Linked DNA regions of Lepisosteus oculatus. Each later gene encodes a partner of the first gene's protein in a complex. Links are inferred from orthologs where the notes say so. Each region holds a gene or a part of one and is shown on either strand. Other genes may lie near its edges.

What was found.
Region 2: igf2bp1 (region 1) and elavl4 share a complex: the UniProt entries of both Homo sapiens proteins name them as parts of the TAU mRNP complex. The link is inferred for Lepisosteus oculatus from reciprocal best matches to the Homo sapiens genes IGF2BP1 and ELAVL4.

The regions. Positions count from the first base shown.
Region 1 is NC_090723.1:9,505,029-9,520,186, forward strand, and holds the start of igf2bp1 (insulin-like growth factor 2 mRNA-binding protein 1), read left to right. Parts: upstream 1-8,135; 5' UTR 8,136-8,707; coding exon 8,708-8,882; intron 8,883-10,310; coding exon 10,311-10,371; intron 10,372-15,158. UniProt on the Homo sapiens protein: RNA-binding factor that recruits target transcripts to cytoplasmic protein-RNA complexes (mRNPs). This transcript 'caging' into mRNPs allows mRNA transport and transient storage.
Region 2 is NC_090704.1:27,000,876-27,016,484, reverse strand, and holds the start of elavl4 (ELAV-like protein 4), read right to left. Parts: upstream 6,962-15,609; 5' UTR 6,936-6,961; coding exon 6,813-6,935; intron 1-6,812. UniProt on the Homo sapiens protein: RNA-binding protein that is involved in the post-transcriptional regulation of mRNAs. Plays a role in the regulation of mRNA stability, alternative splicing and translation.

The DNA.
Region 1 (15,158 bases):
ACAGTTGGGCAACAAGACGTCGAGGCACGTGTGTGTGTGTCGAGAATCTAGAAACTTAAGGGAAAAGACCAGCAGGAACATGTAGTTAAGGTTGGTCTGAAAGTCTGACTCCTGTCCGCCTCGGCCGGTGGCTATCCGGACCAGTCCGCTGTCCAGCCGGTGTGTCCGGAGTGAGGAGACCCGCACTGGTCCCGAACCCCCCGGCCAGCGCGCACCCCGGATCGCGAGCCCCGGGCCTACGGGTTCCGGACACCACTCGGCCCTGCAGCATTCCCGGACACCAGTAACATGCTTTCAGGAGCATCCTGCTTCCGTGTTGTGCTTTTCTGATAACTGGCCGCTTGTAGCCCTGCAATGTGAGAAAAAATACTCTATTTGTGCGTGCAACCACATGTAGGAATTGCGTTTTAATTCACGTCTTTTGATTTTATTTTTTAGGCTTTGGTTAACCTGTGTTGTCAAATCGACCGCTGTGGCTGATCAGGTGACGTAATCTTCTTTTTGTCGTCCACATAAGTATCTGCATTCGCAGAAATGATGTACATTTTACTCTGAAGTCCCCTGTTTCTACAAGATGCAGACAAATCTAAGATTTTGTGATTTAGAAAGCAAATGGACACATTGATGTGTTAAATGCATTTTCATTTGTCGTTCGTTTCAGCATTATACAATGAAACTCCCACAATTAAAATCATACAATAGATGTATCTTTTTAAAAAATATATATTGACTTATTAGATTGTATTAAACTATTATAGTACGGAAACAAAATGTTTAAACCCAAATAAAATAAGAAAGTTGCAGGATAAAATCTAAAACAGAAGATTTTTTGTTAAAATCTCACAAAGAAGAGAAGGGATTTTTAGGAATGCTGTTACAGGAATGTGCTGGAAGTCTCAGCATTAATGCAGCTGTCTTAAACATGAAGTATGGAGGGAGAAATAACTCATTTTTAAGACAGTGTTTACATCGTAATTAAAGTTTCTAAACAAAACTAAATTTTATTGAGGCATCTTAAAAAAAAACGAGTGAGATGAACAGTTCTTAAACATGATTTGTTAAGATCATAGATACATGTTACATTTCACACCATATTGGTGGGGAAAAAAAAGGTACTTACCTGCAATCATGTGTGTAGATATTGTGGTGTACGTTTTGTAAAACATGATGGTGGAATTCAGTTCACAAAGGGAAAAACATGCAAAAGCAGGGTCTTAATTGCAAATGAGTGGGAGATGTTCAGATGGAAAAACTGAGCACCTGTGCCTACATTCATTTCTTGAAAAGAGTAAACAGTTATAAAATGAAGTGGATCCAACTAGTCAATACATCCAGAGTGCCTGCAAAGTCAAGATGCCTCATGTTCACGAGAGACGCTTTATATAAGATCATTCTCTCCCATGATACACCAACTTGTTCACCCACACACACGCACACACTCAACACGCCTCCCCGTGCCTGTCGCCTCACTCTTCCTCTGCCTCTCAGTAGCTCACGCTCGGAAAAATAAGATCTCCGGTTCCGGTTCTGCAGACTTGGGGAGGATGTTTGAAGGGTTGGCGAAGAGCAGGATATCGTTAGAATTCATGTTTTATAAATCCCCTCACGACCTCGGAACTTTTGACCAGCGTTGGCGTGTCGAAAACGTCCTGTGTAAGATTGTAAACCGTGATAGATGGATATTCCTAATTATTTTCCTAATTCTTAAGGTAGGGTTCTAGGAATCAAGATCTAAACTCTGGATTTTGTGTTTCTGTCAATAAAGATTGATTGAACCCTCTCTGTCTCAGCAGCTCACCCATCCCCGGACGCAGGAGCAGAGGAAGCAGTCTGCAGACACACTTGTCGCCCGAGCCGATCAAGTGATGTTTCTCCTTACTGTCGGGAGGGGAACCTCATAACGAAAGCTTTTTCCGGGTGTGAGACTATGTAAATCGGTTCTGATGATTTCCCAAGCAGCTCTAAAAGCCACAAACCAATTTTAGTTCCATACTTGTGGCTTCAATATAGCACGTGCATCGGTTTACAGAACGACACCTTCTTGCAGGACCTGACAGCATTGGCGTTTTAAATTTTGCATTCGGGATTAATTAATCTGGATTAAGAGCAGCCTTTAACTGGGAAGATTATTTAATGTTCCTGTTGAGGCAGCAGTCAGGAGCTCACACACTGCTAATCTGGTTTGAAGGCTTGTCACTTAAATGGCTGGGCACTTTGGCATCTTTGAACTGCTTTGAAAAACACAAAGGATCACGCTGTAAAAGTCTGGCAAACTGCCTTGCAAACAAACACACACAAATAAACAAAACATGACTGTTGAGAAATATATGGCAGACTGCTTACTATGTGCAGTTATGTACTCAGACAGAGAGATGAGATAAGAGACGTCTGAACAAAATCAAAAGCTCTTTAAATCTGAAGCTCATGCTCCTTCATAGAACATTGATTGATGTAAAACGTCCTGACAAAAACTGTTTGCTTGTAGGCAACCTGGATATTTCTTTTTCAGGTTAGGTGCAATTCAGAGGTCTTAAAGAGCTACTTAAAAGTCAGCTGTGTCCCTTGTTTGTTTCTACTGGTGACAGTGTCTTATTATTTCATACATGGTTGTATGATTAATGAGAGGTTTTGTGAAGGGGGAATGGATAATGAATTAAATCTGCAAGGACCACATCTTTTCTAAAGATGATCCTACACAAGTAACATGTTAGTAATTATAAGTTAAATCCCTTTTGTGCTGTGGTGTAATTCTGTCTATCACATCCACTGAACTGTTATTCTGCAAGAAAATATATATTTTTCAGTCAGAAATTAAATGCACTGTCTGTTCAACATTAAAAATTAACCAGAAAATAGGTCTCTTTCAGACGTTTTTTTTTTCTGCGTGACCTTCAAGAATTTAAGATCAGACTTTACCAATAGTCAAGTGTTACCTTGAGAAATGAAAGAAACAGCTTTCTCCTGCAGTCAGTCTGCAGACACCTTACAAATGTGAAATTGTTTTCGTTCAGATAAGAATTTGAGAATCTATGTCAATTTCTCCTCAGGTGTGCCATATCTTCAAGACAGCTCCTTTTCATTTTGTTTAACGGTAACAGTGAAGATTTTTAAATGTGATTCTCGCAGCTGAAGACCTGAAGTACTGTACATAATACATTTATGCAAATACAAATATTTGGTTTAATCTTCATTTACATGTATTAGATGAAGTACAGTCCACTGTCCTTAAAAAATAAAAGGAAGTGCCGAAGGTTTTTACTCATTTTAAAAACATCATGAAGCAAAGGAGCAGGAAGTTCCATCAGCATGTTCTACTGCAAACTATTGAACATGCACAGACCTGGGGGTGTGTTTTGGTTGTGCTGGGGCAAATTGAATGCACATGTCAAGTGCTGCTTTGTCCAGTGGTTTTAATGGTAGTTTTGTGAGATCACATGTTTTGAAAATTGCCCATCAGCTAACCATGTTTATGGTTGTTGTTTTTTTTTGCAGACCAATACAATGTCTATAGTGATGGTGCTCTTCAGGCGACACTCAGCATGCCATCTGATTTCAGAGCTTTTATCCTTTTAGGTCCTTGCACTGAAGGGGGTAACCGGATTAAACCCAGGTTGTATGTGAAAAAAAACACCCTCTTCTGCTTCCCTGCCTGCGTGGCTTTCCGACCAAACAGACTGGGATCAGCTTCAGAAAATGTATCGGAAAAGAAACATTGCAGTCCGTCTCGTGGTTGCAATATCGCTGAAGGAGAGTGGACTGCAGGGAGCAGAGTGCCGACCGAATTCTCTTCTTTCTTTTTCATGCAATAATCCTGGGTCCGTTTGCTGTGAAACTTGGCCCGTGCAGAACTGGTTCTGAATTTCAGCCCAGGGCAGCTGCAGTGTGTCCCCCCAGCCCTCCACTGTCCCCCCCCCCCCCCCCCCAGTTTAGGGTTCAGCACAGCGAAGACCACAGCACGTATAAGAAAGCTCAATTACCGATGCCGTGCTGCTTCTATCTTTCAAATACACCTCCATGTTAAAGACCTCCATGTGAAGCAGCCTTCTAACTTCATCCAGTCCCTGTTCACCAAAACACGTTACCATGGTGCCTAGAGCCTGGTGCACGCTAGGATGTTTTGTTCAAACATGAACACAGTTTGTCTCTGCAATCTCCCGCATGATGGGAGAGGGAGTAAGCATAATAAGCTCATTACTTCACACCATACTTTGGTTTTTATTTTTGAAAAGCCACGCCTTACTTCATACGACCTGCAGAGTGAGTGTGTGTGTGTGTGAAACAGAGGAAACGACCATCCTACATCTTAATGACAATAATTAGTCAGAACTAATTGTGTGTTTTAAACTTTCCCTAATTGTAGATTATGTCCCTTTGCACAGCCAGAGTGGATGAATGAGTGTGCAGAGGGGGCATCAGATACCACTGGCTTGGATGAATGGGTGTTGTTAAGGTCTAGTGATGTAATTCATGTACATTTGCACAGTGCTGGTCTACCTTTGCGAAGGAATGTGTGCAGAGATGAACATGAGTCACGGACACCTGTCTTCATCCTCGACGAACAGATTCCAGGTGTATGACGCTGCATGAGGACGGTGTGCTCTGTTGGAAACGTGCTGCTCATCCTGTCTGGGAGCAGGGCAGGTCTGAGATCTTTTCCTGGACTTGGAGATCTTCCAGGGCTGAGGGCCGGGCGGTCAAGACGCTCCGGCTGTGTGTCCAAGCCCTTCCCTGTTCCAGCAGGGCCCTCTCCTCCACCGCGCTGAGCTCGCCTGTTCTGAACGGGATTAGACTTTTTCAGCTTCTCCCCAGTAGTAAGACGCACCTGAGGGACAATAAAATGTGCACACAGATCAACTGATACAGTCTGGGAGAGGCTTGGAAAGGCCCCGAGCAGAAATCAATTATTTATTTGTGCGGTTTTTGTCAAAGGGTGACTTTTAGCACTTTCCACCAGCCCTCCCACCCTCCTAAACCAGTAGCTCTGTTTGCTTTTATAATTAAAAAAATGCGTGAAAGACAGCTTTGGTTAGCATGCTGTTTTTTTGAAAGGCCCGTGAGGCTGTGTGGTCAGCCAGGTAGCGTCCGTCCTGCGCGGACACTCTCCTCTCCGGCAGGGAACAGGAAGGGCCGACTGGAGCCAGCGAGTGACCTGGGGACGAGAGTCCAGCTCTGGCTGGGCTCTTCCAGACAGAGGCCTCTGGCCCCTGCCAGTCTCCCAGCCCGGGCCGCCAACAGGGCTGACGCAGCGGGTCTCTGTCCAGGTGGGCGCTGGTGTTATTCGGCTACTCTCCCACTGGGTCACCTTCATCTTTGACAAATGGGCACTGCATTTCTTTTTAAGCCTCTGTCTCCCTGCTTCACGGGAAGCCCTGAGGTTAATAATAATAATAACAACATCAATTTATTAACCCTCTGCAATTTCTTGCATTAGGAATTTGTCTTTTCACATACCCCAGCTTGCTCTCCCTGAGACATACAGACAGGGAGAGAGAAGTTTGGGGTCAGAGCACAGGGTCAGCAATTATACAGCACCTGGAGCAGTTGGGGTTCAGGGCCTTGCTCAGGGGCCCAACAGAGTTGGAGTCCTCTGGGGGCCACGGGATTTGAACTGGTAACCTTCCAGCCACAGGCACAGATCCTGAGCCACAGAGCCACCTCTCGGCTGAGGGTTCAAGCCAGGGCAGGTGAAACCAGCATCAGTAAGAACGGCCTCATAGCGACAGAGGGGCTGTCTCCTGTCCAGGCTGCAGGAAGAGGGGTACCTGACAGCGCCCACTCTTCCATTCCTTCAGCAGGAAAAATGACGCGGATACAATGAGCACAAAACCGGTAAAGCTTTTCGCTGCAGGGGGGAGATCGTGTATTTCAATTACACTACTTGTGTAGAACAGATCTTTTTCTGATTTGTTCTCATTTATAATGTAATGCAATTAGAAACAGAATATAAAAGACTGCAATATCGTTTGAGATGTTATTGGAAATATTTTTTTTCATGGCATAGATTTTTGCTTTGGCTAAGATGTGTTGATTTCAAACTGTAATTGATTTGCAAAAAATAAAAAGCCACTAAACAAAGTATTACCATTTACATTCCCCCCCAAAGAAAGAAGTTTGGATTTGTGTGTATGTGCCAGTCTCGTTTATTCGCGCAGCTTAACTGCCCCTTAGTGTTTTAGGAAAACACAAGCATTTTAATCAAAAACTGTAAAATGCCCGCAGATAATTATTTTTAGATTATTTTATATCTCGGCTTGATTACAGCTCATAGGTTTAATTGACTGTCAAAAGAAGGCTGGACAACTACTGCAGAATAACTTTAATTTGATCTTTATTTAACCATATGAGCCAATCGAGAACAAATTCGCTTTTGCAACAATGACCCGGAGATTTATTTATAGAGCACGGCGTTTACCGCCGCTATCTGAGCGAACTGTCTTGCTCAAAGTCACAGCAACAGCGGTCCACGTGGGATATGAACCCGCAACCCTCTAGTCCGGAGTCCAGAGGCTGGGGCCCCTATCTGTGACCCAGTAAATTTAATTCAATAAGAGAAAACTCGCTGCGATCTTGCATCATGCAGCTGTCGCAGCCAGCTGAATCTGCCCACAACGCGTGTTACAAGTAACGAACAAGTACCCGTCTGGAATACAGAACTGTTGCAAGAAAAAAAAAAGACAACTCGGACGCGATACGTGTAACTCGATTTCCTCCGTGTGCGTGGAACGCCCCACGCCCCACCTCCACCTCGACCGAATTCACTTGAGCATTCCCGTTTCCCCTGACGTTGATTTTAGGGGGGTGGTCAGACTTTGTGTATATTTATTAAAGATCTCAGTCAGTAAGTGCATTGTGTGCGGGTTTTCGCGTGCTAAAAAGCAGCATGAGGGATCGATTTCAAAGGTTACAAAGAACTAACTTGTGAAAGACGATTTTGTATTTCGACTGGTCACAGTTTCACTACATTTAGGGTGGCCCATGAATTGCGTTTATTTTTCTGTGGGGATAACGCGTTACTCGAAGAACGGTGTTCTCTTTTACACCATATAGGTCTGGTAAATGTTTATTTAAAGGGGGTTGGGAGAAGAGATCCCAACGAAACGTGTTTGTTACAGAGCGCTACAGCCTTTCCGCTCCCGGCGGCAGCTACTGCGCTTGGAGGCCTAGTGCCTGGCAGCACCATTTTGAAACAAGAAACAGAAACCAGGGAGAGAGAGTCGTGCTGCTTGCCGTCCTGTCGTGGTTACACGATACACGCGGGCCTGCAACAGCTCAGTGGATGAGGAGGGCGGCGGCACGGGGGAGGGGGGGCGATTCGGCGCTGTGTTCGCGCGTGCTGCGGGGTGCGGGCGCCGCTTTCCGACTCGCGCTCTGCCCGTCTCCGGGTCTCCAGCCCCGCGTGTAGCCGACACTGGGGGGAGTGGGAGCGGCCCGCCCGCGCAGCGCGCCCCGACCCCCCTCCTCTTCTAGAACGCTTCTAGAATTCGTTTTGCGCCGCGCCTGCCCGGGACGGGCTCGCCAAGGCTCTGTGCCAACGAAATGGCCACCCTCTCGGCTTGGCGTTTCGCAAAACCACCGCCCTTCTCGACGTTGTCTGCTGGGGAACCTCCCGGGCGGCCCGCCTTTATGGTCTATACCGCTCAGGCAGGGACACCAGGCTGACGGGATCACGGGGTCACAATTTACCCCCCAACCGCCTCGCTCGCCGACCTCCCCCCTGTAGATACAATAACCCCAGCGGCAGGGGGCTCGAGCTGGGTGTGCGTGTCCAAGCGACCGAGAGGGCGATTAAATGATTCATTCTAGCGCTGATGAGCGCCCATCGCCATCGCTGGTGCCCCAAAGCGGGTGTGTCGAGCTGACCCGCGATGGCGCGGGGGGGTGTGCACACAGACACCCACTCGCCCGCCGGCGCGACCCCGCGCTCCCCCCTCCCCGTGCTCGCGCCCGCCTCCACAGACGGACACACACCGTGACATGCGCGCGCCCTCGGCAACATCAGCGCAGAGCACGAAGGCCCGGGCTGTCTCGCGCACCCATCCGCGAGGGGCCGGCCCTCGCTCTCGTTACTCCGAGACCACGTGGTTTCCTCTTTGCAAACACACACACACACAAGAAGAAAAAAAAATTGAGGCAATTTTTTTTTTTCAGGTCGGGTTTTAGAGGCGGTGCCACAGCTAGGCAGAAGGATCTGTGACGGTGCGGGGGTATAACTCGAGGTTTAGGGGCAGAGAGAGAGAGAGGAGCAATTTTTCCCCCCTGATCGCGCCATCGCACTGTTACTATCGCTGCTGCCGCCGACAGCACCATCGCCGCCTGTGCAACAATCTTCTCCCCAGTCCAGTTCGCCGAGAGTGCGTGCGATTCACTTGGAGATCCGCGGCGCCGCAGTCTCGACGTCTCCGCTTTCGCTCGGCGAATCCGAATTCGGCAGCTCCCGGTCGCGGCGACCCCACTTCGCCCACAACTTTTTTTTTCTCTCCCACCCATTCACCCCGATTTCTTTTTAATTTTAATTTCGAGGCGCCGTTTTATTTTCTCCTTCGTTCCGAGTAGCCACTCTCCCTCTTCGTCCTTCCGTTTTGTTTTGTTTTTTGGTTCCAATTTTAATTTCGGGTCCTTGGTTTTTTTTGTGGGTTTTTTTTTTTAAAAAAACTATTTCTTTTTTTTTTCTCCTGGGGGACCGGTAACAGTTGTGTTTTTCACCACCATGAACAAGCTGTATATTGGAAATCTGAGTGAAAACGTGACTTCGGAGGACTTGGTGAAAGTCTTTGAGGACTGCAAGATCCCTTTCTCTGGGCAGTTTCTATTGAAAACTGGCTACGCGTTTGTGGACTGTCCAGATGACCACTGGGCGATGAAGGCGATCGAAACGTTCTCTGGTAAGCTCTTTAAAAGTAACGAGCCCTTTCTTTAACCAGAGCGGTGTATTTAAACAATTTACAACGAAGTGTGAGTTTTTTTTTTTGGAGGGGATGTGGATTAAAAAAAAAACGCGTACTCCGTGAATTTCTCTCACTCCAATTTCGGAATCCACTGAGTTTGTTTGCAGAGGAGAGGGGTGTCGGGGGGAGGGGGATTATCTGATTGAAAACCAACAGATTTCGGTCATTCCGTTTAATTCCGTGTGGGAGGTGTTTTAAAACCTGGCCGAAAGATAACTTTTAAACGGGGTGAGTCGAATCGGCAGCAGAGTTTAAAAATGGTCTGTGGCAAACTGGTGCCTTACAAGGTATGTGTCCCAGTGAAACAGGTTGCTATTGATATCTTTTATTATTTAAGGCAGGCATGCCTGGACCTCTTATTTTTAATTTAAAAAAAAACGTTAATTGGGAATCCAGTCCCCGAGAGAACTCCCGAGGGGTGGCATTGCTCTGGTCTGTATATAAGGGTTTAGCTATACGAACACGATCCCCTCCCCCTTTTGTCATGATAGGCCATTATAGATAAGAGGAATTGAATTTGTTTGTACAAAAATAGCCAGTGATTAGGTCAAACATGCCTTATGGATTTAAAGAAGCGAGAGGTGATTCTCGAATAACCGGAGAGAAGGGACCGTTGTACGGTCACAGGCGATAGGCGAATCGTCCGCGAGTTTTTCGGTCCTTCCTTTTTTAAAGAATCAATTTTCCTGATTTTGTACATTACCCCCTATAGCATGTGATGTTCCCTATAGCGCGAAGGTCGCCATGCTGCTTGCGCTTCAGCTATAGTCGCGCTACGAGAACACGGCGGGCGACTGTTTTCCTTCGTCATAGTTAAACGGCTCCACGCCGAGAGAACCGGGGAAACTTGTGACCCCGCAGAAAAGCGGGGTGAAAAAAAGTTAGCAACACCCCAACAAGACAAAAGCTGTAAAAGTTCCCCTAGTCGTGCCGCTGCCCAGTAATTTCTATAACGAAGACCATTACAGCTTGGGGCACGACTACAGAGAGGAAAGGCGCCGTGCAGATGTTTAGGTGTGTTGATATGTCACCTTCCGTGCCTGTAACAATTTTTTTCCCTTACATCGAGTACCCAGTGTATGAAGTTGTACCCTTTTTATTTTTTAAAAAAAAACGTATCTTTGAACTACCACGTCAGGGTTGCGGAACTGGGACCCATTCGGATCTTTCCTCAATTAAAAAAAAAACAAACAACAACTTTCTAACTGCAGCAGCTAGGAAACTCTTTCCATTTTGTGAAAGCCAGCCGTGACGAGACAAGAACGAAAATGCGTTAACATCCCCACAAACAAAAAAAAATCAAACTGCTCGGACGGTACACAGAAGGGGGACGTTAATGCAAACACGACTGTATTTGTTTTTCAGGTAAAGTGGAGTTGCACGGAAAGCGCATGGAAGTCGAACATTCTGTGCCCAAGAAGCAAAGGTACTTCGGGTATTCGAATTATTTGGGGGTGTCGAGTTTTCTTGAGCTCCGGGTGGCCTGGAATGAGTTTTGTGTGGTTGCATTCAGTGGTGTGCAATGAAGAAGGGATCCGATCTCGTAGGGTGACGAATTCCCTCCTCACTGTTAGTTCTCGAATTGGGCCTGTTTTCAAGTCCAACTCCCTCTCCACGCCAAACTTTAATTTAGGCTGGAAAGACTAGTCGTAATTTACCCTCCCTCCCCCCTCCCCATAAAAAAATGACGGATTGCTTTCGATTCGAATCAGAAATACATTTTCACTAAAAGAACACCCTGAAAGTCAATTGCACGAAATTTAGTGTTTGCTAAAATTTCAATTCATTCTCTCGCCATCTTGAAATTCATGCACGTAAAAAGAGGAGAAAATGTCTTTTTTTTTGAGAATCTGGGACTGCTTGCTAGTGAACAGCTCTGATCAGAATGTCTTGGTTGTAGTTGCAGGTTTTGAGTTTAAGGCCTACTGGTCATGAAGGTTAGTGAGGCGGTGTTGTGCTTTTAGTTGTTTTTTTTTTAATTTACCTGGGCTTCGAGAAACCTGGTGTGTTTGCGAACGAAGATTATGCATCTGTAAAATTGGTTACTAAATTATTTCACGCAAATTTGCTAAAGTTTTTTTACATTGAAATGTTTCGCTTTTTTTAAAAAAAAGTATGCATTTGTTTGTTAGGAAATAATTGGCGAGGTTTTATTAATATTAAATACAACTTAACTTCATCACCTAGATACTTGGGGCTGGAAAACGGTAATAAATGTTGTTGGGGAGTATCTTCCGTGCCTTTTGTGTGGAGTAGAAACATTCTTTCAAGCGGTGCCCTTTGTTTTGGCATTGTGCTAGTGAAACGTTAAAATCTTCATCTTGGCTTCTCGGCTACAGTATCTTTCTGTGCATTAACTGCCCCCCTGAACGCAGAAGTCGTCTGTAGGACACTTTCTCAGTTCGAAGACGTTTGCCGTTTTAACAGCTACACATTTTAAAACTCCCCTCTCCAGCTTGTTTTCTGAAAGCGCTTAAACAAAAATAATCGAGGCGCCCAGTACAGTCGCTGGAGTTTGTGTGGATGTGTTGGTTCCGGGGGAGGTGCGCGGTTGGAGTACAAATGTGCAATTCTTGGGTCTGTAAAATACTGAACTGCTCAGTAGAACATAAAGGTGTTCTTCCCCTCTGTCTCCCCAATTTTAAAATGTGTTCAAAACAAGTTTTTACAAAGCTGGCCTCAGCCACTCCCCAGCCCCCAAGCGCATATTTCCCCAAACGTGGGGTGGTGGGGTTAGGGGGGTGACCCACTGGGGATCAGGACCCCTCCTGTCCCTTAGCACGACGTTCTGGTCCGGCCAGGACCACAAGAACCGGACCGCTCGGCCACTGACCGGGCCCATTGTGTGGTTCGAACACACCGAACCAGGCCGCAAGACTGGCGTGGGGGTTCGTGGTGGTTTTGTTTAAATTGTTATTTTTAGAATGTCGTCCCCGGCCTGTTAGCATTTCATTGAACATTTTACCGAACAGAGCGCAAGTTTGTTTTTTTTTTAAAAAAAAAATCAAAATGGAGGCTTTTAGGATAAAAAAGGGAGTTTAATCTTTCTGGATTTAAAATAAAAGCCACGCGGATGGCGTAGTCTGAATCAGACAGGTCTGTTCCGCCTTATTGGGAGAATTATTGTCAGCAGTGGCAATAATCGATTTCTGTATACGCGCTATGGAAACCTGTTTATGATCAGCGAAGAGAAATACGTGTTCGACGTGCAATGTCTTCCTTTTTACATTGATCTGAATTATAGGCCGAAGCGAAAGAGTCCAAAACTTTATTTAAGAGGGAAAAAAAGTAATTTTCCAGCAGCAGCAGAGCAACATGTTTTGCAATTTCAGGCAATAACATTATTATAGCGAGGGGAGTGTGCGCCTTTGCCTTTTCATTCCCTACAAATTTGTAATGTATTTTAATTAATTCCATGCGTCAGTTAAACTATCATTGTGGTGGCTGACGATAAATATGCACGTATTTCATCAAAAGCCTTCAAGGGGTAAAAGAAATGAACCAAATAACAACAACAAAACTTTCAACTTTAATATTTTTTAAAAGAAGGGACAAAAAGATCTTGACTCCAAACACGTGCTTCTCTCGCAGTACAGGGCCCGCTTACGTCACTCGCCACAAAATAATGGCGTCTCTCGGGTCTGGTTTGTAACGACATGGCTACTCCTCTTATAAGGCATATATACGGCGACGTAGATCCCGTGCACCTATCTTAATTCCTGCAGACGAAAAAGTATTTACAACAGAATTGTGAGATTTCACACTCTTCAATTTTAAGGCGACAGTCTGCTTTGTGTGAGGGGAAAACTGTTCTTATGGGCAGTGTATTATTTCAGGAAGATCTTTGAAGCTGTCCCTAGAGGAGTAGTGAAAATAACCTTCCCAGGTCTACAAGACTGCTCGAAAATTTCCTAGGCTTTTTTTTCCCAGTTTGGTTGCAAGATATGGTTTGGGAAAAAAAATATTTTCTTGAAAGTGTTTAAGAAGGCTAATGTTTGTAGGAGGGAGTTTATAAAAAGAGGTTTCCATACACAAATGGCTAAGGAGAGAGAATGCACATGTATATAGGTGATTTAGTACATATTACACAAATAGTTTTTAACAGGCTGATTCACTTTTAGTTCAAACGTGTGATTTGTTTTTGTTTGTGAAGATGGGTGTCATTGCATTGTGGTGAAATTCAGGCAGGGCCTGACTGAGATGCTGGCGTAACACTCGGATCCTATTTGGGATAGGAATGCAGTTGTGAACAGGCCCTGTTTCTTCTGCCATCTCTACATGTGACTTGGTATGTTAGGGCTTTTCATGTTATTAAAGCACTTCCTATACACTTCCTGACAAACTGTGGTGAATTTGCTCTCCTTGGGGGTGAGAAGAATGTGGCCTTTGTCGGTTTTAATCAGGACTTTTTCAAAAGATGGAAATCGTGGTAAAAAACGAGACAAAAGCCGAACGGAAACATTTACGTGAAACGGGTCAGGGTGGCGAAAAATTGGTTTGAATGCTATGTTCCCGTTTGCCTCTTGTTTGGGTAGATCTGTTTGTTGCTGGAGTGTTGGAGGTTCGGTTGTAAAACTATTATCTCGCACAATGGGCCACACATCCTTGTGTCGCCAGGCGGGGCTGCGGGTCATTGTGATGTCACAGAGGGGATTGTGACCTCACACTGGCAGGACAGGATTTGGTGAGTTAGCTTTTGACAAGGAATCCAGTCGAAATGTACCTGCAGACATCTTCCGTCATCAACACCACAAATGTAAATGTCAAGAGGAACTGAAGCCATTTCTGCCTAGCACTTGAAATACCTGTTCTCAACCTATGCTTTATTTTAAAATGCTAACAATATTAATAGAGGTGTCTTAGTCATGCATTGTTTAAGACAGCGGTTCTAAGCTTATAGTTTCATTGATCAAAAGAAGTCACCTTTATTTGATGAGAAATTGGTTGGTGTTTACAGACATCCATGGGTGATCCCTTATGTTAATTTTAGGAAGTTGCCAGGACAGAATAAGCTCACGGTTCTGCTGTAAAGAAAGAACACAGACCCCTAGTCTAGTAAATTTCCAGTGTTTGTGTGTTGTCGGAACAGTGTTAAAACTGATTATTCCGGACGGTTTTAATTCACTTGCCATGCTGGTGTCAAGACTCTCCATCATCTTAATATTTTTCTTGCCTACGAATATCCTGAACCTTCAGGGAGGTTTAATCAGTAGAAGCCCCAGTGATCTATCGCTGGGTATGAATTTGGGGAAGGGGGGTGTGGAAATGAGGCTGTTGTGGTCTTCCCCGTCGTCTGTCCAGCTGTGTGCTGCACTGTCGCCCCCCTGCGCTTGGGCTCTTCCTGCTCGGGAAGGAGCTGGGTTCAAGATGCGTGCCATTGGGGTGTTGATTTTTTGTAGCGGCTGGGGTCGAGGAGGCGGATAGGTGTGGGAGCGTGCCCAGCCTGTGCCGAGCTCTGGCGCGGGTTCAAAGCCAAGTGACCCCCGATGCGGAGTAAACGCACTGCCCATCCAAAATTTAAAATATCTGCACCGCACCTCTCCACTCGGGAGGCGTGAGTGAGCAGCCTCCTGTGATGCTGGTGAAGAGGAATTGGCATAGCTAGGTAGAATCTGCACCCCTCTGCCAGGCTGCCTGGTGAGCAGAGGCCGCTGGGCGGCTGGGGGGGGTGTTCTCTGTTTGCGCAGGGTGTTCGTTCACCTTGAGGTGCCTGCCTGGGCTTGTGGGCTTTAAACAAGAGGTGGTCACTTGGGCTGTGCTAGATGACTCTTTGGAATGCATGCACCAGGAGTCATCCGGCCCAGTGATGATAAATCGTGGAGCACCGTGGAGATACCCTGTGTTTTGTATCACTCGTTTTTTTTATCGTTCGAAACCCGTGCCTGTGTTGTTGTTCGGAATCTTACCCGTTCGATGTTTCAGTTCCCGGTTTTCTTGGTTTGCGGTTCGAGCTCCAGTGTGGAGTTCTCCCGATCTGGCCTCTTCACATGTGCGCCGATGTACTGCAAAGGCATCTGTGTGCTGAAAGCATGTCGTAACGGCGGTGGTTTGCCCCCAACCATCTAACATGACCCTTAATGGCTGATATTTTTTCAGTAAGTGTGCAGAAGTCATTAATTAGCCATGTGCTGCACTGCAATGCAATTAAATGTACATAAATCTGCTTTGATTTGGTTGTGCCCTAAGCAGTCTCTCTTCTAGTTGAAAAGGTAA
Region 2 (15,609 bases), on another chromosome or scaffold:
GACAATATTTATGAACATAATTGCCTGTTATTGTAACACACTGAACACATTCAGGAAAAATGTTTATTTTGAGTCCTTTTTATTCTAGTTCATTTTATTACTTTTATTTTAAAAACATGTTAGGGGGGACAATATTTATAAATACAACTGCCTGTTGTTGTGATACACATGGAACACTCATACAGGAAGAGTGTTAGTTCATTCTATTCATATATTGTGAAAACCTGGGACAATATTTATAAACAGAACTGCCTGGGGTGTCTGGGAGGAGAGAATGTGTATGAAAACAACTTGTGTCAATGCTGAAAATAAATGTAAAAAACAGGTTGCCTGTCAACAAATTGTGAACTCAACAAATAGTGCAAGGATCTGAGCTGAAGGAAATTTCTGAACCCCTGTTGAAAGTGCTCTGTACTGTCAGAAATTTGATAATGGAGCAATGTTTGACTTCCGATTTTCAACACCTATTACAGCCTACCTGTCAAAACTACTGAAATAGCAGGAATCTCTAGGTGTGTGGTTTTGTATTATATCATACAGTATTTACAGGAGGCTCAAAACATTTTAAACTACCTTCCTGTATACAGTATGTATATGCCTATTGCTGCTTATTTAAACATGTTAACATTCTTAACATTTGCTCAGCTAGAATCTGAATCCACAAATGCAGTCATTACAAATGCAAACAGAACCAAAACAATTTCTGTAACTGTGAAGTTAAAGACACACACCATGGCTTAATATCTCATGCACACTCTATTATGACCATACTTTTGATTAGATTGTGTGTTTCTTTTTACAGACATAACAAAGTTGAACAATGTTATTCTCCAATTATTAAAACACAGGTCTGTCTTACCTGTACTGGAATGTGGTGTAAATTGGCAGATGGTATTAAAAAGATAAGAAGCCTATCAGAACTTTCGGACAGGAATGATTTTTAACTGATACTGAAGTTACATTGACACATATTTACAAAAATCTAATTTGTGGTGGTGAATTCAATGTGAGAAAGGGGTGGCAAATGAATAAAAAATAATACATTTTTGTGTGTTCATGATGAATCAAAATCACAAAAAAAGAGAATCAAATTAAATAGACACACAGAAATACATAATAGTTCAGCAAATGCATGACTAACTTAAATACTGTGAAGCTAAAGGAAAATGAACTTCATTGTTTTGCACTTTGATTAGGGTATTCATTTGAAAATGTTTTCAATGTTTTAAGTTATAGGCACTTGTAAATCAAGTAGATACCACCTACCCCACTCTTAAAATTTTATTAATGAGGATCCCAGGCTGACCTTCAAGATTGATAGCATTTTTGTGTCCTTTTATCCTCAAAAAAGACATCAATCCTTCAGAACATTACAGATGTCAAAAGTATTCAAGGTTTCAAAACTACAATAGGAAAATGAGTTTATTTTCAATTTGAAAGATAGAACATAATTACAGCACTTCATTCAGGATGAATGTTAGGTTAGTATGATGTGCATGTCCAAGGTTAATCTGGTTGGCGTTTAAATAATGCTTTATGGAGGCATAGTGTCACTGTAGGGTAACTGTAGGGTAACTTTATTTTGGGAGCTGTAATATTGACTTTTCTTATACAAAACAGTATGATAGCTTAGGCAAAGATGGACATCTTTATGCTACACACATCATCACATCACTTTCAATAACTGTTTATCCATGTCAGGGTTACAGTGGCCCAGAACCTATCCCATTACAGCCTGGATGAGACACCAGTCCATCCCAGGGCAAACACAGACACAAACATGCACACAATCACCGCAGGGCCATTTTTCCCAGAAGCCATTTTACCTTTGGACTGTGGGAAGAATCCAGAGTACCTGGATGAAACCCATTCAAAACCAGGGAGAACATGCAAACTCCCTGCAAATAGTACCCTAGTAATTGAACCCAGGGCTGCAAAGCAGCAGTGCTAACCACTGGACCGCTGAGCCTCCTTCTTTTTGCTAGTATTGGGCAATAATAGTATCCAACTGAAAAATTGAAAATTGAAATCCCATTGGCACTGCTATTACATTTCACCAGCAACTCAATGTAACAAAGCTGCCACAAATCTGTCACAAAGCTGTAACAAATCTGCATGAAGATGCAGATGCTAGCCACTTCAGACATAATGATTATGTGTTGTTGATTGTAACATCAGTCATCATGTAATTGCCTGCTGGGTAAATAATAGCCCTAAAGGTTGCCCAAATCGGACTCTTCTTATAACAATTGTTTCCCATTGGGACTTGTTTTCTGCAAGATTCTATTGGGCATTGACAGCCCACACAAATAGATGAACACGCTTCAGGACAACTGAAAAACATGTTGGCCTTTTTGGAATCAAAGTCAAAAAAGAATTATGGCCATTTGAGATGGAACCGATACTGCAGCCAGGGCCAAATCAAAATGTCAGATGAGCTACCAATCGCGGACTGTAAACCTATTACATTATGGTGGCTTTCTGTAGGCGTTTGGACTCATGGTAGCTGGGTCAAAATTCTGTTTGGACCAGTCAATAGCGAGGATTTGGAAAAGGTAAAAAAACATACATTGCCAAACACTGCTGGGGACACACTATTGACATTATTGGCACAGACAAACATGGGGACGAGAATGACAAAGGCACAGGGTTGAGAAATGTGCTTATCCCAAGGGAATGTGGTCTCTAGAGGCAAATCAATTGACAGCAAAAGGAAACTCAGGTCCTGCTAGTGCCTAATGACAGCCGGCTTCAGATTTGTGTGCAAAGCACGAGTTGTCGTTTTTATTAATAGTACTTCAAATAAAACCAAGGTACATTCTCATACACTGAAAAATACTGTCACACAGCACTGCAGAAAATACCCAACAAAAGCTATTTCTGAGCACATTTTCTTTCGTTTAGGGAATACTAACCAACACCTGTCTACTGCACAATACTCCATGAATATTTAAAAGATTAACTGTTGCTATAACTCTTTCTTCTGCTCTAAATCACTATTACACCATAGCTGCTCTTCCCACACCTGTTCGATAAGTAGTTAGGCAGGGCTGGGGGAGTGTAATTGGAATCATTTCCTGGGTAAGTTAACAACAGAAACATTGCAATCAAGGATGGAGGAAACTAGAGAGAAGCCAGATGGATGGAGCTAATCAATGTTCAGAAACAGAACTGACCCCTGCAATATGTGTGGCGCCCATAGCAATATGCAAATCGGAAGACGTTTTCCACTCCACACGACTGCTTCAGTTTGTTTTCATCACTGGTACAGCAGATTAGTTGCTCCGTTCAAACATTGCAAGGAAAAACTCTCAATCACTTGCCTATGGAGGAAAAAAAAAGCTGAACAAAAACAGCAGCTGTTTATATTTGTGTGGAAAAGGAAAACAGCAGCCTTCCTACAATGGGGTTCATTGATCTATAATTGAAAATGTCAAAAAATCCTGATTGAGTCTCCTTGATGAGGCAATAGCAGAAATGAGCAGACCACGAACAGCTGTATTATTATTTTCTAATGTAAATCTGCCATGAACTGAATCACAACCTAAATAAAAAGCATGATTTCTCTGTTATAGAAAGATTTCTGTAATAGCTGACGCTGATTTTTTTTCTTTTAAAATATAGAGGTAAGATTAACGCCATACAGTATATTACACGCCAGCTAGCATTGTTTAAATGCACTTGTATAAAAAATTAAACATTGTTTTCATAGTGATTCATTCGGGTTCCGTAAAAGCAGAATCTCGTTTGCAATGGCAATTTTTAAGTGGTGTAAAAAGGCAGGATCCACTCTTACTGTTAAAAACATCTTTCCTTCACACTTCTGCACTACAGACCAGAGACCGAAAACGTTGTGCTTCCTTATGCCCACTATCTTCCTAGCTGTACAGCTCGCGACATAAATCATTATACCATAGCAGTTTTATCTTATACGGTGATGGTGTGAGGGAGCTTATTAAATTCCTTTTGGTGTGATTGGGCACCATTTCAAACACAATGTTCTCTGGCAGACTCACCTGAAAAAAGAACAGGCTGCCGCTATACAGCATGCCCTACAATCTGAAGCCTCTTCAGATAATCCATAGAAGATGGCACGTCTTTCGCCACAAATACATACATTTCCGTTCAATTAACAAAGGTAAAATGCCACCTATCGATGTTTTTTAAAGCAGAAATATAAAGGATTTTATTTATATCCCCTATCTATTACGGACTACATTTTTGACAAAAGTTATTGAATTTGAAAATAGTGTCCTCCTCTCATCAACACACAGCAGGAGTGTAACCAAAGACATTGCCCCTCACATGGCTTTTAAGGAAGGGGAAAGGACAGGAAACAGAGCTGTAGAAATACTGTACCACTTCATTTTAAAAACTGTAAGCTAGTATTATAACAATGTCCGGCCTGGAACCAAACCTTTTGATTTATTATCAGATTCATAAAAAGAGAGGCAGGTAAGTTTAAAAAAAAACTGAGCTTGAATCAATTAAATAAATTGGAATTTTAAAAATATTCTCACACTGAAACCTTTTGTCTTCCTCCCTGTCACCACAGGGCCAACCTTTTTAATATTCATTTTATCTGATCTCCCTGGACAGTCAAACTCCCTGTAACCTGTATCAAATATGAATGAAAGAATGAATCCATTCATTAGCTAATTACCTAATTAGAATATCTCAGCTCCTTTTCAAAGTCCTGTTTAGGGTCTCTTGCTGCTGAAGGTAAAGAAATGAGAATAGATTTCCTCCATCTTAAATTTAGGAATGAAAAAAAAAGACTAAAACCCTGTCTATTATTAAATATATTTCTTAGATCTAAAGAGCAGAGTATAATCAGACCCAGTGTATCCCTGCATCTGGTAATGTTGTAAAATTCCATATAGTTTTAGGCTGCCTGATCCTGCTATGTGTCTTTATATGCCATTAAAACAAATATATGAACCATTGCTGACTTAATGCTCGAATCTCTCAGATATGAAATCAAATTCTAATGACCAACCTGTTCTCATTTTCACTATAAAATAAGAATAGTGCCATCTTTTCTGCTACTGTTAGAACATCAAGTGCATTACCTTTAGTCCTAGTACTGAACAAATTGCCTTAGTGAAGCCTGTTACAAGTTTTCCAACAGTTTCTTTTGAAAAGAGGAAACACAATCCAATCTGTGATACCAGAGACAAAATCACAAGAACCATTTATTTATCCGCTTCTGTTTCTTTGAGTGTTTTTCTCCTTTGTGCGTAAACACTGCAGATTGAAGGAAAAAGAAAAGGACATTTGTGCTGATACAGGCAGCAAAATCTCGGCGACTGCTGCTCAGTAAATCACAACCCTGCGAAGGCAGCTATCATTTAAAGTGTTGTATGTTGTGGACTTCCTTAAGGGAATTAAAGAGCAGCTCACATTTTAAGCAACATTTTAACTGAAATGTCTTGACACACAACTGTATGCATCCTCTCCAGTAAAACACATTTCTGGAAGAAACACAAACAAAAACACGTTGAATGTGTACTAAGAAATTTTTGATAAGAAGAGGGAACACTTACAGTATCTTAAAGCCGTATGAGCACCAAGGGGTGACAATTTTTTGTCAGGTGCAAATATTCTTATATTTTTGACTGTAAAGAATCTGGTGTTTAACTGTGCTCTTCCTATGAGTGGAGATTTAGCTCCAGCTGTGAAAGGGGAAGAGACAGCAACAGCTGGCTGTCACTGTTGACAGACTGAACCACCAGGGTGGACGCTACTAGCCCCTGCTCTGCAGCCCTCTGCTTCAGCCCCGGACTTCCCCGCCTCAGTGCCATGCAGCAGTGCGCTCCAAGTTTGGATGCTCAGTCTGCTTTAAGGAGAAGCTGCCACCAGGATGAGTAACCATGACAGATCAAACGCCCCCTGTCTTGTGTAGATTTTATGCGGCAGGCAGGGGAATTTTCTCTGACTGTTTCCAGAACGGGTTTCCCAGTGTCTCCTGTTTTTTTTTTTAGACATCACTAGCAGATACAACCAGGCAGTAAGAAAACACACACCAAAAAAGAAAGAAACTCAGATCGAATAATTCCAAGCCACCACTCTTTTCCTCAGCTCCTCCTGGTCTTTAATCTTTTCTTCCCTTCAACCTGCTATGAGTGCGGAGAACGAAATTTCACCGGGACAAAATAATTACCCAGAGTTTATTTTAATTTTTCACGTCTGAGGATTCTTTCATTTGGTTTTTGGAAGGCTGTAAAACTTTTCTGTTCTGTCTCTGCTTGAAAATCCCTGACCAAAATCATTAGTTCCCTTATCCTTGCCAGCTTGTTTGATCTCAAACAGCTCTGACAGTACGCAAAACATCTGGGCCCTTAAAAATGATACAGATCAATCCTGACTGTTACAGGGCCTCTTCCTCTCGGTCATCCATGCCATCCCCCCGACCCCAGGCCCTCTATGCAATACACTGAAGAGCTGCTCTTCCCAGATGGACCACTACGAGTCTTGTAAGAGATCCTCCGCCTCCTCCCAAACACGCTGTACTAACCACTATTGGACTGACAGATACGGAAGTGCTAGGACTTGCCCAAGGTCATACAGCAGAGAAGCAAACCCCAATGGGATTGAAACTGCACAAATCCCCCTCCCCCGGCTCTTTCTCTTTTTTTATGGACAGTTTAACCCATTGACAGGTGCGCCGACAAAGTATGCAAGCAAAGCATCGTAGACCTTCATTCCTAACAAACTGCTCACTCCTTTCACTCCAATTGAACTGACTGATTCTACCCAACTTCACCTGTGTCTCCCTCCCCCACCTCCAAGTCCCCCACCTCTCGTCTTACCAATAGTGACCTGCCCCCAGGCTGGCTGCTTGGGATTTCCCTGGGATAAAGCAGCGATCTCATCTCAGGTAAGGTGCTTTCAGTAGGGGCTAGTCCCAAGTGCTGTGGGTACCTCATCATCATCTTGTGGGATTGTGAAAGAGGCTCCTCGTTCACACACAGACAGAGACAGAGAAGGATGGATGGAATGGTAAAGCACAGGGAGAGAGAAAAGAAGGAGAGATCGAGACAGGGAGAGAGAGCGAACACACACATCCAGGCACGCAACCCTTGGAACGCATGCACACACACACACATGCGCGCGCGCGCGCTTGTTCACACACTCTGAGCCCCAGATGGACTATTCCTCATGCATCCTTGGCATTAACAGCCGCCTGCTCAGAAAGAATCACGAAAACCAGTCATCATACCAAAAACAGCCAACCCTTGCCTCTCCACTCACTTCACCACGAGCAAGCAGGGGCAGAAAACGAAGTACCCCATTCCCAACTTATTAACCTCCATCCACCAGCTGAGCAGCCCTGCCAGGATGTCTCTTTACAGCCTCTACCCCCCCCCAATATTTCCATAAATTTACCTCCCCCTCTGCACTTCCTGCTCCTGCCTTCCAAAAATCACACATACACACACACACCAAAAAGAAAGGACAGGCAGCCAATATTCCCCAAATCCTGGAATTAGAGAGCCTGAGAAAGAAAAATCAAATCCATTGCTTTACCTCATTGCTCAACAAGGCGGCATTCAGTGTTCGGCTGATCTCAAACATCTTGTTGCCAAGGCTTTTGTTTTCCTTTCTTTTTGCTGTCCCCCCCCCCTCTCTTTGTCTCTCTTGCAGAAATGGGAGGCAGTCCCACGGAACAAAAAAAAAGGACCAAAAAACTGAAATTAAAAAGAAAGATCCTTTATTGTTTTCTTGTGTTGTTTTTTTTTCCCCCCCTTTCGCCTTTGCACACCTCTGTCAGTTCTGGAGCTTGTGCCCGGGGTCTCGGCACACAACTGGAGAGTCAATATTTTTTCTTTATCTCCCCGGAGTCAGCACATTAAAACAAGCAGCCGGGCTCGTAGGACTGCTCCCTTATCTTTCCCCCGCACACTCTCACACACAATGTGCTCCGATCCTTACACAGCTCTCTGGCAGATTAGCTTGTCCCAAAACATAGCTCTTAGTTTAAACTCCCTCCCTCTCTCTCTCCTCTCTCTCTCTCCCTTTCTCATTCCTTCTCTCTCACTCTCTTTACCCGGCAGTTACAGTTCACTGTGTTACCACAAGGTGGGTAGTCTCTGCTAACTAATGACAGCCACGGCACATCTGTCTTGCTCTTCCTTCGTTTTGACTCTCCTTGCGCTTTACAGCAGGGCATGTGGCAAATCACACACATACGCATGCACACATGTTTCCAGGCTGAAATCAACTTGCTTTTATTAACCCAGCAAGCTTCTTATTTGTTACTGATACATGCATATTGGTCCTAGTGAGGAGTCTGCTGTGTCTGACTTAACTACCTACTGCTAGATAGACCCTCGAGTCACATGCGGGAGGGGTGTAATGCACATGGAGGGGTCTCAGTTGTCCTTTCCCGGCATTCATCTCTGGTTTCCACCACCAAGGACTGATGTCTGTGTGTGTAGGGGGGGTGAGGTGATTCATGAGATTACAGATTTTTTTAATGCAGTCTCACTGGTGGGGAGAAAGTGGAAACCTATTTGAATTTTGGTGGCTCCACTGAGTCACTAGGGGCTCACACATTGCCTTCTCATTTCACAGCGACCCTAGCCATCAAGGTCATCAAGGTCACACAGAAGCTGAAAAAATGACCTCAGAGTGTCAAAGCCCAGTGAATTACGATGGAGTACCTAGAGTAAGTATAACTTATGAGCTATGGAGGAAGAAGGCAAACAGAGAGGCTAGAAATGGAGAATAAACTGCAGTCCTCTTGGATGTAATATGAATGCAAGCTGCAATGATGCCTTTAGTGCTGACACTCCCAGACTGGAAAAGCTGGGAGGCAGGAGGAGGGGGGTGAAAACCAGCACCAAGTCCATTAATGAAAAGGAACACTGAAACATGAAACACCAAATTTCGATCCTTTCTTTTAAGAGAAACCCTTGTTTATCTGCAGGACATGGACACACGTTAGTTTATGTCACCCAGTCTTTATTTATTATTAAATTTGTTGTTACATTTAAAAATGTAAGACTGCAAAGTTGCCATTGAGATGTGTAAGATCTTGGGGTGAGCAGTGGCTCTGTGGCTAAGGATTTGAGCCTGTGGCTGGAAGGTTATTGGTTCAAATCCCGCAGCCGACAGAGGAATCCTACTCTGTTGGGCTCCTGAGCAAGGCCCTTAACCCCAACTGCTCCAGGGGCGCTGTACAATGGCTGACCCTGTGCTCTGACCTCAAGTTTCTCTCCCTGTCTGTGTCATGTGTCTCATGGAGAGCAAGCTGGGATATGTGAAAAGATGCATTCCTAATGCAAGAAATTGTATATGGCTAATAACGTTATGTGATGTGATCAACCCTCCAGTAAAAAAAAATAGCTAAGGAAGCCCTTCTGGCTACATGGAGCCCAGGTAAAAGGTGAAGCAGAATTGTGATTCAATATAGGGAAATTGAGCTTTGCCGGAAGAATAGGATAGGCATCAGGGCAATGCTAGTTTCCTCCTGGTTTTGAACCTGTTAGACAATGCCACAACCCCTCTCTCAGCTCCATCTCACATCTACATTTTAGCTGCTGAACTGGGGGCTGTGAAGGGGTGGGGACGTTATAAATCATGACCCTATGAAGCCATAAGCAGCTTATTAATTTATTACATAAATAATCTCATTACAATATGGACTGTTTAAATAGGATATGTGACGCCATGCCATTAATTTTAAGCGTCTGAATCCCAATCATTCCATTAAAACTGCATAATCAAGCGTTTTATATGGTTACATTCATCCGCCCCGGTGACAAGCATCTAACATTAATAGATTAAAAAAAGGACCCTGTTATGGAATAAAGATAATGAACATATGCAATTATGAGGTCTCTTTGCTCATTAATTAAAAACTCCAACTGGCTCAAAGGGTTTCAGTTGCCTCTTAAATTTAATCTCATACTGCCCATAGTAGCTCTGGAAGCACCAAGATATAATGAAAGACTGCACAGGTTACACAAATAGGAGAAACCCATTTGTCTTTTATGAACGAATCTGAAAAGGTTAAACTTGTTACAGTGTCTATGGTGATGTCTTAAGTATTGACATCTTTTACTTTAGGCTGTCCGTTCATGGCTTTGTTATCAGAACATGACTGATGTTTCATTCTCCTCATCTGTTTGAAATGGTGCACAGCAACAATTAGCCTAAACTGCAAAGGCCACCTAAGAGCTTGACAATTCATCTCAGGCTTTGAGAAGTGACTGAAGGGAAACAAAACACTCTTTTCAGATTGTGAAAACCACATGGCTTTACTCCTAGTTTACAAAAGAATATAATCTATTATGGTTGCTGGGCTTTTCGACAACTTCTTAAACTACCTTGTGCCATGCTCTACCAGTTTCATAATAGAGAGCAAGATGAGTGGAGCAGCAAAAGTAGTACTTAGTAGTCTCTCAGTGATTCCACTACCATTAAGGTGGGTTGGTGCACTTCTAGTGTAGAAGCTGTTTTTTTTTTAAATCATGAGATACTGTATAATTTACGCTTGAGCTCTGGGTTCAATTCCTGGGGTGCCTCCATATGGAGTTTATGTGTTTTGTCTGGCTGCTCTCATTTCCTTTCAGAATCCAACGGCATTGGAAAATTGGTTCTGGTGTGAGTATGTGCGTGTTTCTGTCTGACTGTGCTTTGCAGTGAACTGGTGTCCCTTCCAGGGTGTACCCTGTCTGGCACCCATTGTTTTCCAGGATAGACTAAGGCTTCCCCGTGACCCTGTCTTATATAAAGTAGTTAGAAAATGGATAGATGGATGTGCTCTCCAGTTAGCTCATTTAAGATGAGAGATTAAAGAGGGTCTATCGTAAGGCAGACACCTGATTCAAAGGAAACATAAGGGCTTGTATGCTGTATTCAAGTCATGGGAGTCCCTTTGTAACTTTATTGTTACAATCCTGGTGGAAATACACTGCTCTTGATGGTAGCGACAGCTCCTTTTGAGGTGGGTTTGGTGTCCCAGTTTAATGTGCATGACTGGCAAGCCTGTGCACAAAGGATCTCCCCACATTCCAAACTTTTCTAATTGTACCGACAGTTTGGATTCTTTAACAGCTCAAGGGCTGATTCAGTGTAATTTACTGCAGAGCCAGACTCGGAAAAACAGAATGACAACGAATAAAGGAATAGCCTCTTATTTTTACTGTATATCTCTCTCTCCTGCTTTTATGTGGGAGGTAAATAAAATTAATTCAGGCAGAAATGGCATTCCTTAAATTTACTGAACCCACTGTGTATATAGTGGAGATGACCTCAAGCAAATGCCAAAAAATCAATTTACATTTGGGGTTTGGGTTTTTTAAAACTAATGTGGAATTATTTTTAAATGCTTTTTATCACTTTTTCTTATTTTAAAAGTATTGTTACAGAATTTCTGATAGGAATTTAGAAATAGAGTACATAGATGCTTGTTGAGGCCACTTGTGTATACATTCAGCATTTCCATCAGCATCTATGAGTAGGTGTATAAATGACACTTTAAAGCCACTTTTTCACTCTGTCTTCCAGTATATAATTATATATAAATAGAATAAGCAGAAGTTTTATTTTTAAAACATAAGTACCAAATTGTAGAGAAGTGGAGAGTAGTGGTTACAGTCATGGACTCCTAACTGGAAGGCTGGGGGTTCAAATCCATTCTCAAGACATAGCCATTGTACGTTTGGGTAAGTTATTCTACCCCAATTTCTCCAGTGTACCCCGCTTAATTGGTAGTGGCACTGCTGGGGATAGCCATGCAAGGAACTGGTGGTCCTTTCAGAGGGGAGTCATGTACTCTTAGACCGCTTAATGCTCTGGAAACAGCAATAAGCTCAGAGTCAGATCTCAACAAATACAACAGGATGTGTGCAAGATGTGTGCAAGAGGACAACTGGATTTGGATCTGCCCAGGTAAGACACTCCACATACACTGAAGAATGCGTTAAGGTCACATAGGCATGAGGTTACTAGGGAACTAGTGTCACCTGTGTGAAGCCCATCTTCCTACAGTATATGTAGGGAGCTCTGATATTTACTGACATACAGTACCTGTCATACTATTGGAAAAAATGTTTTCCTCAGGGAAAACTAAAAACACATATTAAAACATGGTATTTCTCATGATCTCTAAGACAGAGAGATGACCCATATTAGAATAGTGTCTAAGTGATGAGTTTTTAACAATGTTTTTCTTTTCAAACACAACAAAATACCATGAATCATACATTTAAAAATGGAGAAAGAAAAAATCATGCAAGCACAGAAAAGGGCGAAAGGGGACTAATCAAACCAGTTCTGAAGATGAGAAAAGGTATCTGACCATTCTAAAACAGTTTTGCATTAGCAATATATTTTTACCAAAAACAAATCTGTAATTGAGTGCAACTAAGCAGGAAGTAAAGTCATTTCAGTCTAGCCTTGTAAAATGGACTTTGGTTTTAGTTAGACCTGCACACGAAATTGTGTCTTGGAATTAGTAACTTAGGAGTTATCACGGAGAAGGTATAATCAAGCACAGTTACTGTACATCCAATAGCACATTCAGAAAAACCACAAACAGGAAGTACAGTACGGTACACAAAGTGTCTCTCCCTTTAGAAATAACTTTCTATCTGAGTTTATTTGTGTTAACAGGTAAAGACCCATTAGAATGTAGTAGTCTATTTTAAACTGAAATTACAGCTGATGTATAATCTTTATAAAAAGAGCCAAGTTGCAATACAAAATAGATTTCAGTCTTAAAGACCCAACCTAATCCCACACCACTAGCAACAACACTGGTGGAATTCTCTCTAAGATGGGAGATTTACACATCTGCATAGATGGAGCAGCAGCCTGTATGTAGTCCAGAAATTGATCAAAAGTGCATAAACATGTTAGTGGAAGATGACATGCAGAACTGGTTAAGCATCATTGAGAACCAAAATACAGTTCCCACAACAGAAAGAGCAAAAGAGAAGCATTTCCAATTCTTGTATTCAGCAATAAAGCAACAGGTGCAGTCTACAATCTGGACATTTTCAGGACAGATTCTTCTGTTTAATGTGTTAAATATATTGGATTCACAGTTGTGGATAACCTTGGCTCAGTAGAACAGGAAGCTCTGCACTTGTTTCTAAAGAAATACTTTGTTCACCAGGGTGAAACTTTTGCTGCCTTGGAGGTACATCTAATTTCCTGGCTGTCTGAAGGATGAGTTGTTGATCAGTATAGCATAGGACTTTAAAGATGATGGTACCAAGGTATTTTAAGTTAAAATTACGTTACCAGATGCCTTTCAGAGGCCCAATAACAACAACAACAACAACAACAACAACAATAATAATAATAATAATAATAATAATAATAATATTATTATTATTATTATTATTATTATTATTATTATTATTATTATTATTATTATTATTATTATTATAAAGGTTTTCCTCAATTTTGATCCTGGCACTCTACCCTCTGCAAGATGTCCACCAATTTACTACTGTCATTGACAGACCACAGAACAGCTGCATTCCTCTACTTAAACTGCATTGTCCCCAGAGGTGATACAGCAAAGAGATTTAGTTACAGATAGTAACTGTGGCAAACTGCAATCAAAAATTTGTGTTTTAAGCTGTGCATGAGAGACATGTTAAATTATGTGGTGTATTGATAAAGTAGTGACCTACTAGGCAAGAGCTACGATCTGGGTTTCTATTATTGACTTTTGAGATGGGAATGCACAGCTCTAGAGACAGCATATTGCACTTTTCAGGGGCCTGCATAACAGTGTAGCATTGAAAACTGCAATGAACCTAATGTGGGTAGAGAAATGGGTGCCTCTTGAGTAAAACCACTGTTTTTGTATGGACCCACCAATTGTTAAATCTGAGCCTCTTCAGAATCTTATATTGCTAAAGATCACAATAATTAGTGGTTGATTCCTCTTGGTCAGTGATTTCAAATGCACACTATCGTGTTTTCACAAAAGTAAAGACATTGTGCTTTTACATTAAATGATTGTTGAAATATTTAATATTGCACCAGATTGCTTTATTTTGCTTCCACACATCACCTCAGAATTAGGCAGTAAAAAGCTGAAGGAAATCCACAGTCAATCTTAGGAAACATGATGAACATTAACAAAGGACGGCCCACGTGGGAAATGAATATGGAGTATACTGCATGAAGCTGTACCATTTCAAGGTAAAGTATATTAGAAGGGATTACATGACAGCACAAATTACCTCCACCTCCATTACCTTGTTTTTCCCTAATTAATCAAATTTCTTTATTATGGTCTAAAAAACCCAAAATAAACATGATGTGTTTACAGGTATTTATGAAGTTCTTTATACTGGACCAATTTAACGAGTCCCAGCTCTTCAGGTGGTGCTTTAACATGATTTTGAAAACCTCTAGAGTGTGCTTTATGTTCATTAAAGAATGTTACAGCATGTTCAGCACAGCATTGTTCTTGCTAGTCTGTAGCCTGTATGCAGAAATGGCACCATGATCATAATAACACTGAATCAAATCAAATTCTAATATATTTCACACAAAATGCAAAAGTAAGCTCTTATGCATTTTTAGAAAGCAATCTTTTAAATCAGACCTTATGCAGGACTGATTGGGCAGTAGCAGCGTCGCTGTCAGGCAATCTGGTACATGAGATCACAGCATATCCCTCCTCCTCTGTATTAAATCTTTCATGATTTCCTGCATGGGTTCACCAGTTAACTATAGTGTACAGTATGTGGACAGAACATTCACAGCTCTATTGATGTATCATTCATTTGATTTGCGTGGTTTGTATTGTGCTTTACTAAACCTCCCTATACTATGCCTTACCTTGATTTCATCATGCCTAGCCATACTTCATTATGTTTTAACCATCAGTACTTGTAGTAATATTTTGCTTATGGTTCTTAAACTGCTTTTACTGCCATCATCTTACAGCACACTGTAACACTCCTAACACTCCAACAGATTGCTATAATTCCATTAACAGGTCACCTTATTTCCTTATTTACTCTGTGATGCATTCTGATCAATATGCAGTTCTATAAGTTTCAATGCTGTAATACATACTTGCTAATTATTACAAAAATGCAGTTGCACAGTTAAAACCCCTAAATATTGAAGAGGTTATGATAACACTCCACCACTGTATGATCATTAGTGTTAAGAGATACTCATTGTAATTCAATGACATTCAAATGTTGGTGACAGTTGAAAGAAAAACACCTATACAAGACATTCATTAATCTGGTAAAACTGACTTGAACCATTAAGGTTCAAGGTACCAAGGTGCTTCAGCATTTTCAGATAAAACATGTTATTTGTTCCACCTGCAGTGCAATTCCTGTGCAATGCACATCCTTGCCAGGTTGATAAATACTGATACTTAAAACAACTATTCTAGCCTACAGTGTAATGAAAGCAATACAGTTATGATGTTAAATACCTACTGTACGTACAGTAAAACACAATGACAACTTATAATTGCATAACTCTGATGTGAAGTGGACAATGTTAATCAGTTAATGGACACATTCAATTCAAAACTCATTTAAGAATGGCAATATGCCTGTTAATAAACTGTAGTTAACATATCATATGGTTATAAACCCGGTAGCTGTT